Linked DNA regions of Oryzias latipes. The protein of the gene in region 2 purifies or fractionates together with the protein of the main gene of each other region. This does not show direct contact. Links are inferred from orthologs where the notes say so. Each region holds a gene or a part of one and is shown on either strand. Other genes may lie near its edges.

What was found. Proteins that work in one complex are often made in the same cells at the same time.
Region 1: the proteins of leo1 (region 2) and ssrp1 fractionate together in Homo sapiens (co-fractionation; 3 studies listed by BioGRID and IntAct, with this or other methods). This does not show direct contact. The link is inferred for Oryzias latipes from reciprocal best matches to the Homo sapiens genes LEO1 and SSRP1.
Region 3: the proteins of leo1 (region 2) and eloa purify together in Homo sapiens (affinity purification with mass spectrometry; 3 studies listed by BioGRID and IntAct, with this or other methods). This does not show direct contact. The link is inferred for Oryzias latipes from reciprocal best matches to the Homo sapiens genes LEO1 and ELOA.

What each region holds. Positions count from the first base shown.
Region 1 is NC_019868.2:13,997,161-14,001,184, reverse strand, and holds part of ssrp1 (FACT complex subunit SSRP1), read left to right. Parts: intron 1-849; coding exon 850-979; intron 980-1,096; coding exon 1,097-1,200; intron 1,201-1,374; coding exon 1,375-1,503; intron 1,504-1,579; coding exon 1,580-1,801; intron 1,802-1,994; coding exon 1,995-2,067; intron 2,068-2,173; coding exon 2,174-2,179; intron 2,180-3,065; coding exon 3,066-3,198; intron 3,199-3,280; coding exon 3,281-3,326; intron 3,327-3,395; coding exon 3,396-3,531; intron 3,532-4,024. UniProt on the Homo sapiens protein: Component of the FACT complex, a general chromatin factor that acts to reorganize nucleosomes. The FACT complex is involved in multiple processes that require DNA as a template such as mRNA elongation, DNA replication and DNA repair.
Region 2 is NC_019861.2:13,579,911-13,584,511, reverse strand, and holds the start of leo1 (RNA polymerase-associated protein LEO1), read right to left. Parts: upstream 3,243-4,601; 5' UTR 3,203-3,242; coding exon 3,145-3,202; intron 2,236-3,144; coding exon 2,087-2,235; intron 1,321-2,086; coding exon 1,034-1,320; intron 1-1,033. UniProt on the Homo sapiens protein: Component of the PAF1 complex (PAF1C) which has multiple functions during transcription by RNA polymerase II and is implicated in regulation of development and maintenance of embryonic stem cell pluripotency.
Region 3 is NC_019869.2:17,219,941-17,223,037, reverse strand, and holds part of eloa (elongin-A), read left to right. Parts: intron 1-2; coding exon 3-183; intron 184-263; coding exon 264-396; intron 397-2,321; coding exon 2,322-2,470; intron 2,471-2,562; coding exon 2,563-2,624; 3' UTR 2,625-3,097. UniProt on the Homo sapiens protein: SIII, also known as elongin, is a general transcription elongation factor that increases the RNA polymerase II transcription elongation past template-encoded arresting sites.

The DNA.
Region 1 (4,024 bases), on a different chromosome or scaffold from region 2:
GTGCCTTTATTATTAATATTAAATGCACGTTTGCTTATAGATTTTTTAATCTGTGCGCCCAGTGCTTCATTATTGGCAGAACGGACCCGGGAGAACAACATTTAGCCGTGCTGATAACATTTTCAGCCACGGCTGAACTTAAACTGGAACAACGAGCCGATTGTGGCAACATGTCTTTATAAAAATTACAAAGAATATTGTCAGACACAATTTTTGAGGAAAATAACTTTAGGTTACAGAAGGGAACGTGAAATTAAAATTTGTAGAGCAGATCTCGACGCTACGTAGTTTGTCCAAGTGGGGCTACCGTAGCGTGACGTTACCTTCAGTCCAAAGGACCCCGAACGGAAGTTCCAGGCCGAACGGCTATGGTAGCTACAGCGGCTTTGGTAGAAAAATGTTGAGTTCAGAACACAATTCAAACTAGAAATTCTGGTTATAAATGCAAACTTTACAGAAGTTTATTTGTTGCAGCTTTTGTTCCCTTTAAACAGCTTCTTAAGTAATTTTCATACCATCTGTGCAAACATTTTTCTCGTGTTCTGCTACTTTAAAATCTGAGTTAAGACTGACCTTCAACCTGTCTTTGGTTTGTTTACTGCTCTTTATACACAATATGAATGATAATTCCACTAAAAGAGACGTGGAAAAAACTGCTAATACAAGTAGATAAATGACCTATAAAGAGCCGAATTGCAGCTTCTGAATTAAATGCTTTTGTTTTTGAATCCTCAAGAGTATTACTTTTTTTTTTTTTCAAGTGAAGTATTTGTTCTGCCTGCTGTCAGAAACTGATGTTCTATGATGAGAAGATGACCTCCTGTCATTTCGTTATCTCCTTTGTTCCAGATATGACATCCGTATCTATCCGACATTCCTTCACCTGCATGGTAAAACTTTTGACTACAAAATTCCCTACACCACTGTCCTCCGTCTCTTCCTGCTGCCACACAAGGATCAGAGGCAGATGTTCTTTGTGGTGCGTCAACATTTGAGCTTTATTTTCTTACAATACTGAGTGTAAATTTACAACATTTCTTGCATTTTTTAAATTTTAACTTCCTTCTGATGGTCTGTTTTTCTTTTCTTTTCACAGATTAGCCTTGATCCTCCAATCAAGCAGGGTCAGACTCGCTATCACTTCCTCATTCTCCTTTTCTCCAAAGAGGAGGACATAAATCTCACCCTTAACATGAACGAGTGAGTACAAGTACATTTTAGTAACTATTTAACTCCTTTTGTTTAGGGCTGCTTCAGCTTGTTGGGTTTTGCAAACAAATCTGGAAAACTAAAGATGTCCACTAGGGGGAGACAAAAGTCTGCTTTATTGCCCGTTCACAAACCGTAAAGAAGTTTGTTTTCTTGATGCTTCAGGGATGACGTGGAGCGCCGTTTTGAGGGGAAACTCAATAAGAACATGTCGGGGTCTCTCTATGAGGTAGTCAGCAGGGTGATGAAGGCTCTGGTCAATCGCAAGATCACTGTCCCAGGAAACTTCCAGGGGTAAACATGTCGTACACTAAAACACGTTACGGTCTAAGAACATCTAATAAAACTCTGTACGTTGTATTTTCTCCAGCCACTCTGGGGCTCAGTGCATCACCTGTTCATACAAGGCTTCTTCAGGCCTCCTCTATCCTCTGGAGAGAGGCTTCATCTACGTACACAAACCTCCTGTCCACCTCCGCTTTGAAGAGATCTCCTGCGTTAATTTTGCCAGAGGGACCACCACAACACGTTCCTTCGACTTTGAGATCGAGACCAAACAGGGGAATCAGTATACTTTTAGCAGCATTGAGCGGTAAGGCACTATATGTGTTTAGCTGCATCTTAAACAATAAATACACTTGTAGGAGTTTTTTCATCCTCGTCTATAAGTTTGCAGAACAGAAGCATGACCCCAGTCGTCTTTGAACAGATTCCTAGTATTCTAGGGGTGGAACTGTCTCCATCTACTGTCATCCAGGTTACCCTCACCTTTCTTTACTTTTCAGAGAGGAGTATGGCAAACTGTTTGACTTTGTCAACGCCAAGAAGCTCAACATCAAGAACAGAGGATTCAAAGAGGTAACGCATCAACCTGCACTCCCGCTCCTGAAACAGGCTTTCATAGACTTCCATGTCAGATGGAGATTCTTATTGCCCCTCTTTGTCTGCTCTTGTACCCCTGTAGAAGAAGGTGGGTATGGTCTTGGGCGTCATTTGTAGACTAGCAGCTCTTGGTTTTCTTTGTGGAATCATGTCTGATTGCATGGCGTGCTGCTGACGTGTGCTACAAGGATTGTGATCAGTAATCTTGATTGACCTTTTTTTGAGGTTGAAATGGTTAAATACTGAGTGACATATGGACTAATCATGGGAAGGCGTTGGGTCTGCAGTAATTGTGTGTTTGTCTGCATCTTGCCGACTGATTTGCTTCTTTGGGTCTTTCGGGTTTCCGTGACACGATCGTTATTCCGACGCGATGTTCAGCCAGCGCCATCAAATCTGACGACGCTCTTTACGTCCAGACATTAAGTGCTCGCAGCAGAGCTATTGGTTGCTGTGGTGATGGGGTCAGCAGAAGAGGTCAAACAGATCGAATGGTTTTGCTCTCCATTTCCTGGTGGTGTTTTCATGGCTGTTTCCCTTCGGGTGTCTGTCCACTGACAGACGTGGATGTTGAGAGGGGGTAAGGTGGCAGCAGATGACAGTGGCTTTGCGGTGGAAAAGATGATGCAACTGCATTAAGCCATGGAGTCTTTAGTGGAATTTAACCTGCTGGCCTTAAAAGAAGAAGCGGCGATGCTGGACAGAAGAGGGTCCGGTGCCGGATTACCCACAATTCATTCACTTAACAAAAAAACCTTCACTCATTAATCTGTTTTGTTTCAATGTTGTCCTTTAATTGGCTACTGAGTTTTTCTGACCACAGATTTATATATTTATTTGGAAAACGATTGTATACTAACAGTGTGTGTTTGGGGTAATGATGTGGTTGGAGGTGAGATTTCAGCAAAAATGCTGGACTAGTTTTATGCTCTGTGGTGGTGGGGGGGTTTGTTGACGGTGCAGTTTGTTTTCAGGGCATGAAGGGTAAAATTGACGACTACAGTGACTCGGACGAAGACAAACATGATGCCTATCTGGAGAGGATGAAGGCTGAAGGCAAGATCAGGGAGGAGGGCAACGACAGCGACGAGTCGGATGCTGAAAGTGGTGAGTAAGACTCAGAACAAGAAGAGCAGCAGCAGCTGGCTGAGAAGAACATCTGCTTTAACCTCATTTATTCTCCCTGTAGACGAATCCTTCAACCCAGGAGAGGAGGATGATGACATAGCAGAAGAGTAAGCCACTTAGATGGTTCCTATTTTGAACTTGTTTTATCCCAGCTGATGGTGTCTTCCCGCTGGCAGGTACGACAGCAATGCCAGTGCGAGTGACAGCAGTGATGAAGGGGATGACAGCGAAGACGAAAGCTCAAAGAAGAAAAAACCCAAGAAAGTGGTCAAGGAAAAGAAAGAAAGGAAAGAAAGGAAGCCACGCAAAGAGGTCAGAGGAAAACTGGAGAAAGTACTGAATTTTTACGAGTATGAGTCACGTGTGTTTTTTTTTTTTTTTCTTTTGCACAGTTTGACCTGACTTATACTCAGGTGCGACATATGTGATTACCGTAATTTCCGGACTACAGAGCGCACATACACAAGCCGCGTCAGTGTACAAGCCGCATGCATTACGCAACATGGCCAGCATGACAAGTCACATCCTGACTCCCAGAATGAGTTCATGAATTCATTTGCACACTGTAGGAGCAAATAGCATTGGATCAGCTGATGTGTTTGAATTCACCCACATCTGCCAAACAGCATGGACCTGTATTCTGTTCACAAGTTCCTCAGTTATGGTTTTTTTTTTTTTTTTTTTTTTAGTTTTTTTAACGTATTGACAATCTAGGTATCATACATAAAATTACAAACAGTAACCATATAATCAACATTACATCCCTCAGTTATAATGAGGAAATTTACATCTGCGATTCCCCATT
Region 2 (4,601 bases):
TAGTTCAGATTTGGTTCAATTCAGCTTTATTTATATGGACCAGTATTACAACACGGATGTTTAAGGAATGAAGAGGCTCCAGCAGCTGGAGTTGATTCAAATTGTTCTAAAACAAACAAACATCAACACTAATGGTAAATGGCATTTACTTACATAGCGCTTTACTACCTTCTTAAAGGCCTGAAGGGCCTTAGTGTCACAGTCCCATTCATCCATGCACACACACAGTCACACACTGACGGCAGCTCCTCTGTCAAACAATAGCGCCGACCTTTAACTTCCAGATTAATGTGGGGTTGGGCGCACAGAGCGGGAACTGAACCTGCAATCTTCCGATCAGAGGTCAACCGCTCCACCTCTGCACCGCTAATACTAATGTGCTTAATAGCTGCATTTGTTTTGGGGAGGATCTCATTACTCATGTAATATTCATCTGTCCGGCTCCTAACTGTGGTCCTTTTCAAAGCCCCCCAGGTCCATGTGACTAAAGTTTCCCTTTATAAGTCAGTAAATACCTTAACTAGAATATTTTCCTTCAAAAATCAACGTTGTCTATTAACCTGTTAGCTGTAAGTGATTTTAAAAAAAGCCCCTCAACATTGTTCTTTTAAAATCTGCAAATGGAATTTACAGGTACATTTCCTGTTATTTAAAGTTTTCTGATAGAGGAACTTTAAAAATCTGAATTTAGGGATTAAGTGTAAGATTTTTAGCTTCCCAAAGAAAACCACAAAATCCTCCATGATGTTACAATATTTAGACCCCTTTTCCTTGCGATTTATTCTATTATAAGACTGAAGACTTTTTAGATAACTGATGCCCTATCTAGCCACATTCCTTTTTCTCTTTTGGAAATACAATCACACATAAATAAACCACATCGAGCTTCACTTGTTGGTGTAGAAAAAAACAAACACAGAGGCGCTTAAACGTATTTTTGTTCATTGCAAATAAGAGCTGGAATCCTAAAAGAATGTATGAGGCATCATTGAACTCTCCTTGCAGGGATGCGTGTCCTTCATCAAAGTCCTACCTCCTGTCTGAGGGAGCGCTACCCCTCTCAGAGCGAGGGCTCCCAGCACCAGACATCCCGCTGCCTGCTGGGCTTCCTCCATCTGATCTTTGACCCACATCGTCGTCGTCATCTTCGTCTCGCTGGTCGTGCTCCGAGCCGCTGTGCTGCTCTGCGTCAGACTGATCGTTGTCCCCCTGATCAGAGTGCATACTGGCATCTGACTGGTTCCCCGAGTGCTCGGACTGATTGTCGCTGCCGCTGTGCTGACTGTGCTGCTCATCCTCACTGTCGTCTCCAAACAGCTCCTATTAGACACAGGTCAGAGGAGAGTTGAGTTAATGTTCGGACCACAGTCACACCTGTGGGCTCTTTGCTCATTTGCACCTGAATACTGACTCAGTCCTGCAGCTAAAGCCACAAGTCACCTGGATGGTGAAAGAGCCGTGGAAAACTGCCACAAAGCTGAAAGATCTGTCATACTGACTTGTTGACTATCGTATCTATTTACAGTGTGAAGAGCAAGTCACAGTGAAGTCATTTATCAGCAGACTTTTTGCAATTCAAGACCCACTCCGATGAAAAGGGTGTTTTTGGTGTTTTTAACATCTTGTTTTGGCATTTTTCTGATAGTGGAGGACATATTTTAAGAAAATTAAGCTTAAAATTACATTGCTGACTATTCTTTATTCAAATAGTTCAGGAGCAGACAAAAAATTCTGTATAAAAAAAGAGCCTATTTGTGACTTAAAGCTGGGCGGGTCACAGTCTCCCTGCTCCGAACTCCTAGCAACTGCAAAGAAGAGCAGGGTTGCTCCATGTCAACAGTCCTGCTCACAAATCAGAGGCAAATTTCACATGACCTCCTGCCGGTCTGCAGGAACTACAACAAGCCTGTTTCCTCTGTTCTTAAACCCTGTTTAATAATCCTGTTTAAAAACTGTGCCTAAAGTTTATATGTAAGCTACAAGCTTACAAGCTTTAACATTTAAAAAAAGGCAAAGTGAAAATAAAAGGAAATTAAGAAACTTTCATCATTTCACTTTTTTTTTTTGATATGACAAATTCCTCAACCTTGTTCATGTTGTTCTTTCCTCTCTCCTGGCCATCTTCATTGTCGTCATCGTCCCGTTCCCTGTCACTGTCGCTGGCGCTGCCAGACACATTGCTGACTGACCTGGGTCTCTCCTGCTCCGAGTCGGAACCAGAGCCAGAGGCAGACTCTGCATAGAGGAGACGACAAGCAACTTTTCTTCAGACACACAAAAACAATGAATCATGTTGACATTAACCAACTCAACCAACCATTGACCAACTCAAAGCAAGATGTTATCTGCCATCAAGCGATGGATCCAGTTTATATGTTGTTACTGTTTGATATACAATTAGACTAGTAATAACTATACTAATTGTATTTATATTGTTCCCACTTCCTTCTCATCTAGATCCTATAATATAGAATTTTCATAAAGTTATACTCCATATCCAATTAAAAGACTAAAAAACAAAACAGGCAGGTCCTTAAAATTAAATTTTCTGTTTTTTCTTTTAAATAAATAAATCCTCTTAAAATCACAGTAACTCTTAATTTCATTATTTATTTTAAAAAGTGCATGTGTTTGAAACCAAATTGTATATTTACAATTGTTTATTTTTGCATTGTTGTTTAACAGACAAAAGTTTTGAATACAAATGCAATAAAGGTCAGATAATTAAACAAATTAATAATAATAAACTGGTTTGGCGAATTATATACAGATAATTATTTTGTTCCCGTCGTCGTTGGTCGTGAATATGATCGTATATTCTGGACATGCGGTTAAAATAGTTTGAGCTTTACAGCTTTGCCTTTAAAGAGAAATTGATTCAAACAAATTGCTGCATGATAATTTAATTTAATGTAATATAATATCTTGGAATTCCCGGCATTTAATGTTGACGAGGAAAGAAAAAAAAATACACGAGTGTTTATGATTAACAAAAACATCACCAGTGCAACTATCCAGGCAGTTCCACCGGCTTAGCCGATTGTTTTTTGAGGAAAATCCTGTTCTGGATTCGCACTAATGAGTGCGCAGGCGTGACTTCATTCAACAATGAAACCTAAATTCGGACAATTTGTAGCTTTTTACCTCTCTGGTCGTTCTCGCTGTCTCCATCACTTCCGAAAAGCTCGTCCATGTCCGCCATTTTTTCTGAAAACCGGAGTGAAAGTACAGGAAGTGGTCGAGGTTTTTGGAGGTTTTACATCCGGGTTGAGCTCACTTATCCTTAATCTGTGTGCTGACTGTTTTAAAGCACTAGAGGGCGCTGTGAAGCACCTTAAACTGAACTGCATGAAACTGAACAGGCAGTTTCCCATAGTATCTTTCACATAGTTGCTGTTTTTTAAATTTAATGCAATTTAACGAAATCTATTTTTCTTAAATGTTAAATGAGGTTTATTCTGTTAGTAAATGTAACTTATTGATACTCACACAGAAATTTGATTATTACCTTTGATTATACAAAGACATAAAATGTATTAATGTTGACTTCTAACCAAAACCCAGATGCAGTCGCATTGGTCAGACTTTGACACTTTTGGAATAATAAATAAAATAATAACTATCTATATAATTTAAATATGAACATTTAAAGCAATGAGTAGAACATGGTTGAATTGAATAAAGTTGCACATTTTGCATAGTGTTGTTAAAAGTGGCTTCATGATAAAAGTTATTTGCAGGATTTTATTTATCTATGAATATAATATAGGACACTTTCTACAAAAATGAATGAATAAATAAATAAATGATAAAAGGACAACACTAAATAATGCTGAATTGGAAAAAGGTCTGTGGTTACCGTTTTACTGTTGTCCATACTGTTGTCAAAGGTAGAAATCATCTGACTGCAGTTTTAATCTGCTTTTGTGTTGTTTCTTCAAGCTCAAACTGTTGTTTTCTGCTTTAAAAAATTTCTAACCTCGATCAAACTTTAAATTTAAACTTCAAACAGTTTGCTTTTACATTCAATGAAGAAATTAAAGTGCAGATGATTCTATATTGATTAATTCATAACACACTGCACCATAATAAATGTTCAAAAAATATTGGGTCTTTAATTTGGAAAGAAATGTCATTTTAATAGCCGTAAAAAGCAGTTACAAGTACTGTTTGAGCCACAAAAACATTTATTTTTATTATTTCATATTGGTTGACTGCAGTCTATCCATGCAAGGAACTACTACATATATGTTTTGGTTTTCCAGAAAATAACTTATTTCTGTGACATAAATATAGAAACACTTGATTATCTGTTTTTTGAATGTACATGTATTAACAGTTTTTGGGAGGATTTTTTTCCCCTTGGTGCTCCTCAAAGTTTCCCTTTCCTATTTCTATTCAATTAGAAAAAAAGCAGATCATATTATTTGGAGTAGTTTCTGGTAATAATCTATTTGATTTGACATTCAATACTTTATTAATATCTGGGAAATTCTTTATTCATAAGAGCAGATTTTCAAACACCAAACCATTATTCAATACATTTTATAAAGAGATCAGTTTATATTTTAAATCTCTGAAATTAATTTAAAAAAAATGCA
Region 3 (3,097 bases), on a different chromosome or scaffold from region 2:
AGTGTTTTACGGAAGATTCAGACGAGCTGTGGAAGCGCCACTGCCAGCGAGACTTTAAGCGCGAGTCTCCTCAGGAGTTCGAGTCATGGAGGGAAATGTACCTGCGGCTGCATGACGAGCGGGAGGAACGGCTGAGGCTGCTCACCCAGAACATCACCTCTGCACACGCCAACAAACCGAAAGGCAGGAGAAGATTTTGAAGACTTTAAAGCTGGTCTCGAAATGGCAGCCATTCTTACAGTCATCCTTCATGTGTTTTGCAGGTCGACAGGTTAAGATGGCGTTTGTAAATTCTGTGGCCAAGCCTCCACGTGACGTTCGGCGCCGACAGGAGAGGTTTGGTACCTCTAGTGGTTTGTCCTCGGCGGCTTCTATTACAGCTGCCTCTCCTATCAAGTGAGTGAATAAAACTATTATTCTGATCTAATCTTTGATAAAAGCTTCAAAACAACTTAATTTTCTTCTTAAAGAATTTGTTGGAATAGAAATGCACTAGTCATAGAAAAAGGCAACAGAAAGGATGCAGCTTAGAGGTTTGATAAAGAGTGAAGGCTTTTAAAGGACAGCATTCAAGCAGCTGTGGAGACTGATACCATGCATCAAAAACTAAACCCTTGTATCATTGAGATAAAGTTTGTTAATATGAGCCTTCTATTTACTTCGCTGCAAAGGGTTCAGTGACACAGAAACAGCCAGCCAGGCTCAGATCATAGCTTCACTTTAGCAGATTTACATCATCAGTGTTTAGAAGTGAATGAACAACTGGCAAAAAGAGATCTAAACTGCAACCAGGATAGGGGATCTGACACAAAGCCCTTGGATTGGATGTAGAGTTTTTTTAAAAACATTTTCCAGTTGAAAAACATTTGTTGGAAAAAAAACAACAGAATAATCGCTCAGAATTCAAGTCTACTCTCCACATGTGTCCATTCTGTATTTACCCGAGGTCTGACTTACTAAAAGTAGTTTTAGTGTTTCACATTTTAGGAAGACTGATTGTAATATGTTCATATGATGGCTTCTGTACGTCTTCAAAGGTCTATTTGCTAATTTAATTGCACATAATTACACTACACTTTACCCTCAATTCTGTTTATTGGGTTTCCTGCTTTTTAATTTTTTTTTGTTATCGTCGTGTTTCTTGTATTTAGGTTTGCCTTATGCCATGTACTGTCTTTTATCATGTTATTTATTTATTTTACTCACTATTGCCCTGTGCACTGTTGCTGTTGGACCACCCACAATTTAACAGCTGCTGGCAATTACAATATTCTAGTCTAGTCTAGTCTAGTCTAGTCTAGTCTAGTCTAGTTAGTCTAGTCTAGTTAGTCTAGTCTAGTCTGATTACCTTATTATTAAAGATAAACTCAAATACGCAACCATTTTATTTGTAAGAGAATTATTTTTCAATTGTTCTTTGAAGACGTTCAGAAGCCATCATATGAACATATTACAATCAGTCTTCCTAAAATGTGTAACACTAACCTGGTTCCGGGTTACACTACTTTACTGATATAGTATTATGTTTTATTCATATGAGTGGCTTTTATAAGTAACATAATCTGCATATATTTCAGATGACTGATCTGCATTTGCCATGTTGATTTCTAAAATAGTTATTTTTGACGTAATACTTAAGTAATTTATCTTTGTCATGTGCTTTATCGATATCTTATGACTTTTAATTCTGTCTGATAAAAACTGGGAACCGGATATTGATAAATCATGTAATAAAATGGTTATAGTATAACGTGGTGGGATTATATAAGTTTGCTTCCTTCCACTCCCTTTCAAGCAATATTTATTAATATGTCTAATTATCCTAAGTTTGATTAGTTACTGTATGAATGTATAACTGATGATTATATTGCTGTTGTGTATTATTTCTACTTAATTGCTTGAAATAAACCATTTCAAATCAAATCAAATCAAAATTGTTGACTCAGACGGGTGAACTTCTAACCAAATGTATTACTTATAATCTGTATTTCCCTGCCTATATGCAATCTAAATAATCACCCACCTAACTTTTGAAAGTTTTTTCTTTTACTTTCATCTATTTTTCTGCTTTTTAAAAAAAAACTGAAACAGATGCTGTTGCCATCAAATGAACCAGAATTGCTTAAAATGAAAAATGTTTAGCTGGTCTTGTCAACAAAAACCAGACTGTACATATTTAAGTCTAAATGCTCCAGGGATGCTATAGGAAGAATTTTACTCCATAAAAAAAACTTCTTTGATTATCTTATTTTTTAAGTTAAAGTTATTTGTACTATTCTTTCACTTCTATTCCCTCTCAAATATTTCTTTTTCTCCTCAAGAATCCGACCAGTTGTTACAGGCGACTCTGGAGAGTCGAGCCGCTCCTCTTCCTCCTCTCTGCTGGCCTCACCTGCGCCTTCATCCCGGCCCTCCGCTCCAAGTGGAGGAGGAGCAGGAGGACTTGGTCGAGAGAAGCCAGCTGTCAAAAGTAAGTTCACAGGCACTTTTTTATCATTAGATTTGCATTAAATCTTTATATGTTTGCATCAATTAAACCTCCATGTTTGATCTGTTCTGCAGAAATCGCCCCTATGATGGCCAAAACCATCAAAGCGTTCAAGAACAGATTCTCCCGCCGGTAATCTGAATGAGCCTGAATGTATTGTATCAATTACAACAGTTTTTAATTGAAGCTACAAACCATTTACAAGGGAACTGCGTTATGGGCTTCAGTGAGGGGTCTATGAGATTTTGAGATCATTCATCAACGAGTGATTGCAGTGTTGTGCTTGTAATCCAAGTTCAAGTCTTCTGAGAGAAGAGTTTTTCTTTTTTCAAAGACATATGGTGAGCAGAAGGGCTTTTGTGAACATCTATCCACAATTCTTCTGTGAAACACAGAGGTGGTGGCATCATTGTTTGGGACTGGAACGCTAACTATCATTGTTAGATTACTGTAGATGGGTAAAAGAAAAATCGCAACGTAGGAGAGCTAAAGACACCTCCTCCTCTGCCCTTAAAGAGAAGCCCAAATTCAAATGTTCAAAAATTTAAATCTTGACTAAAAATTAAATGCTATAGATTCCATAGAAATCCATCCAAGCACATGTTGTAG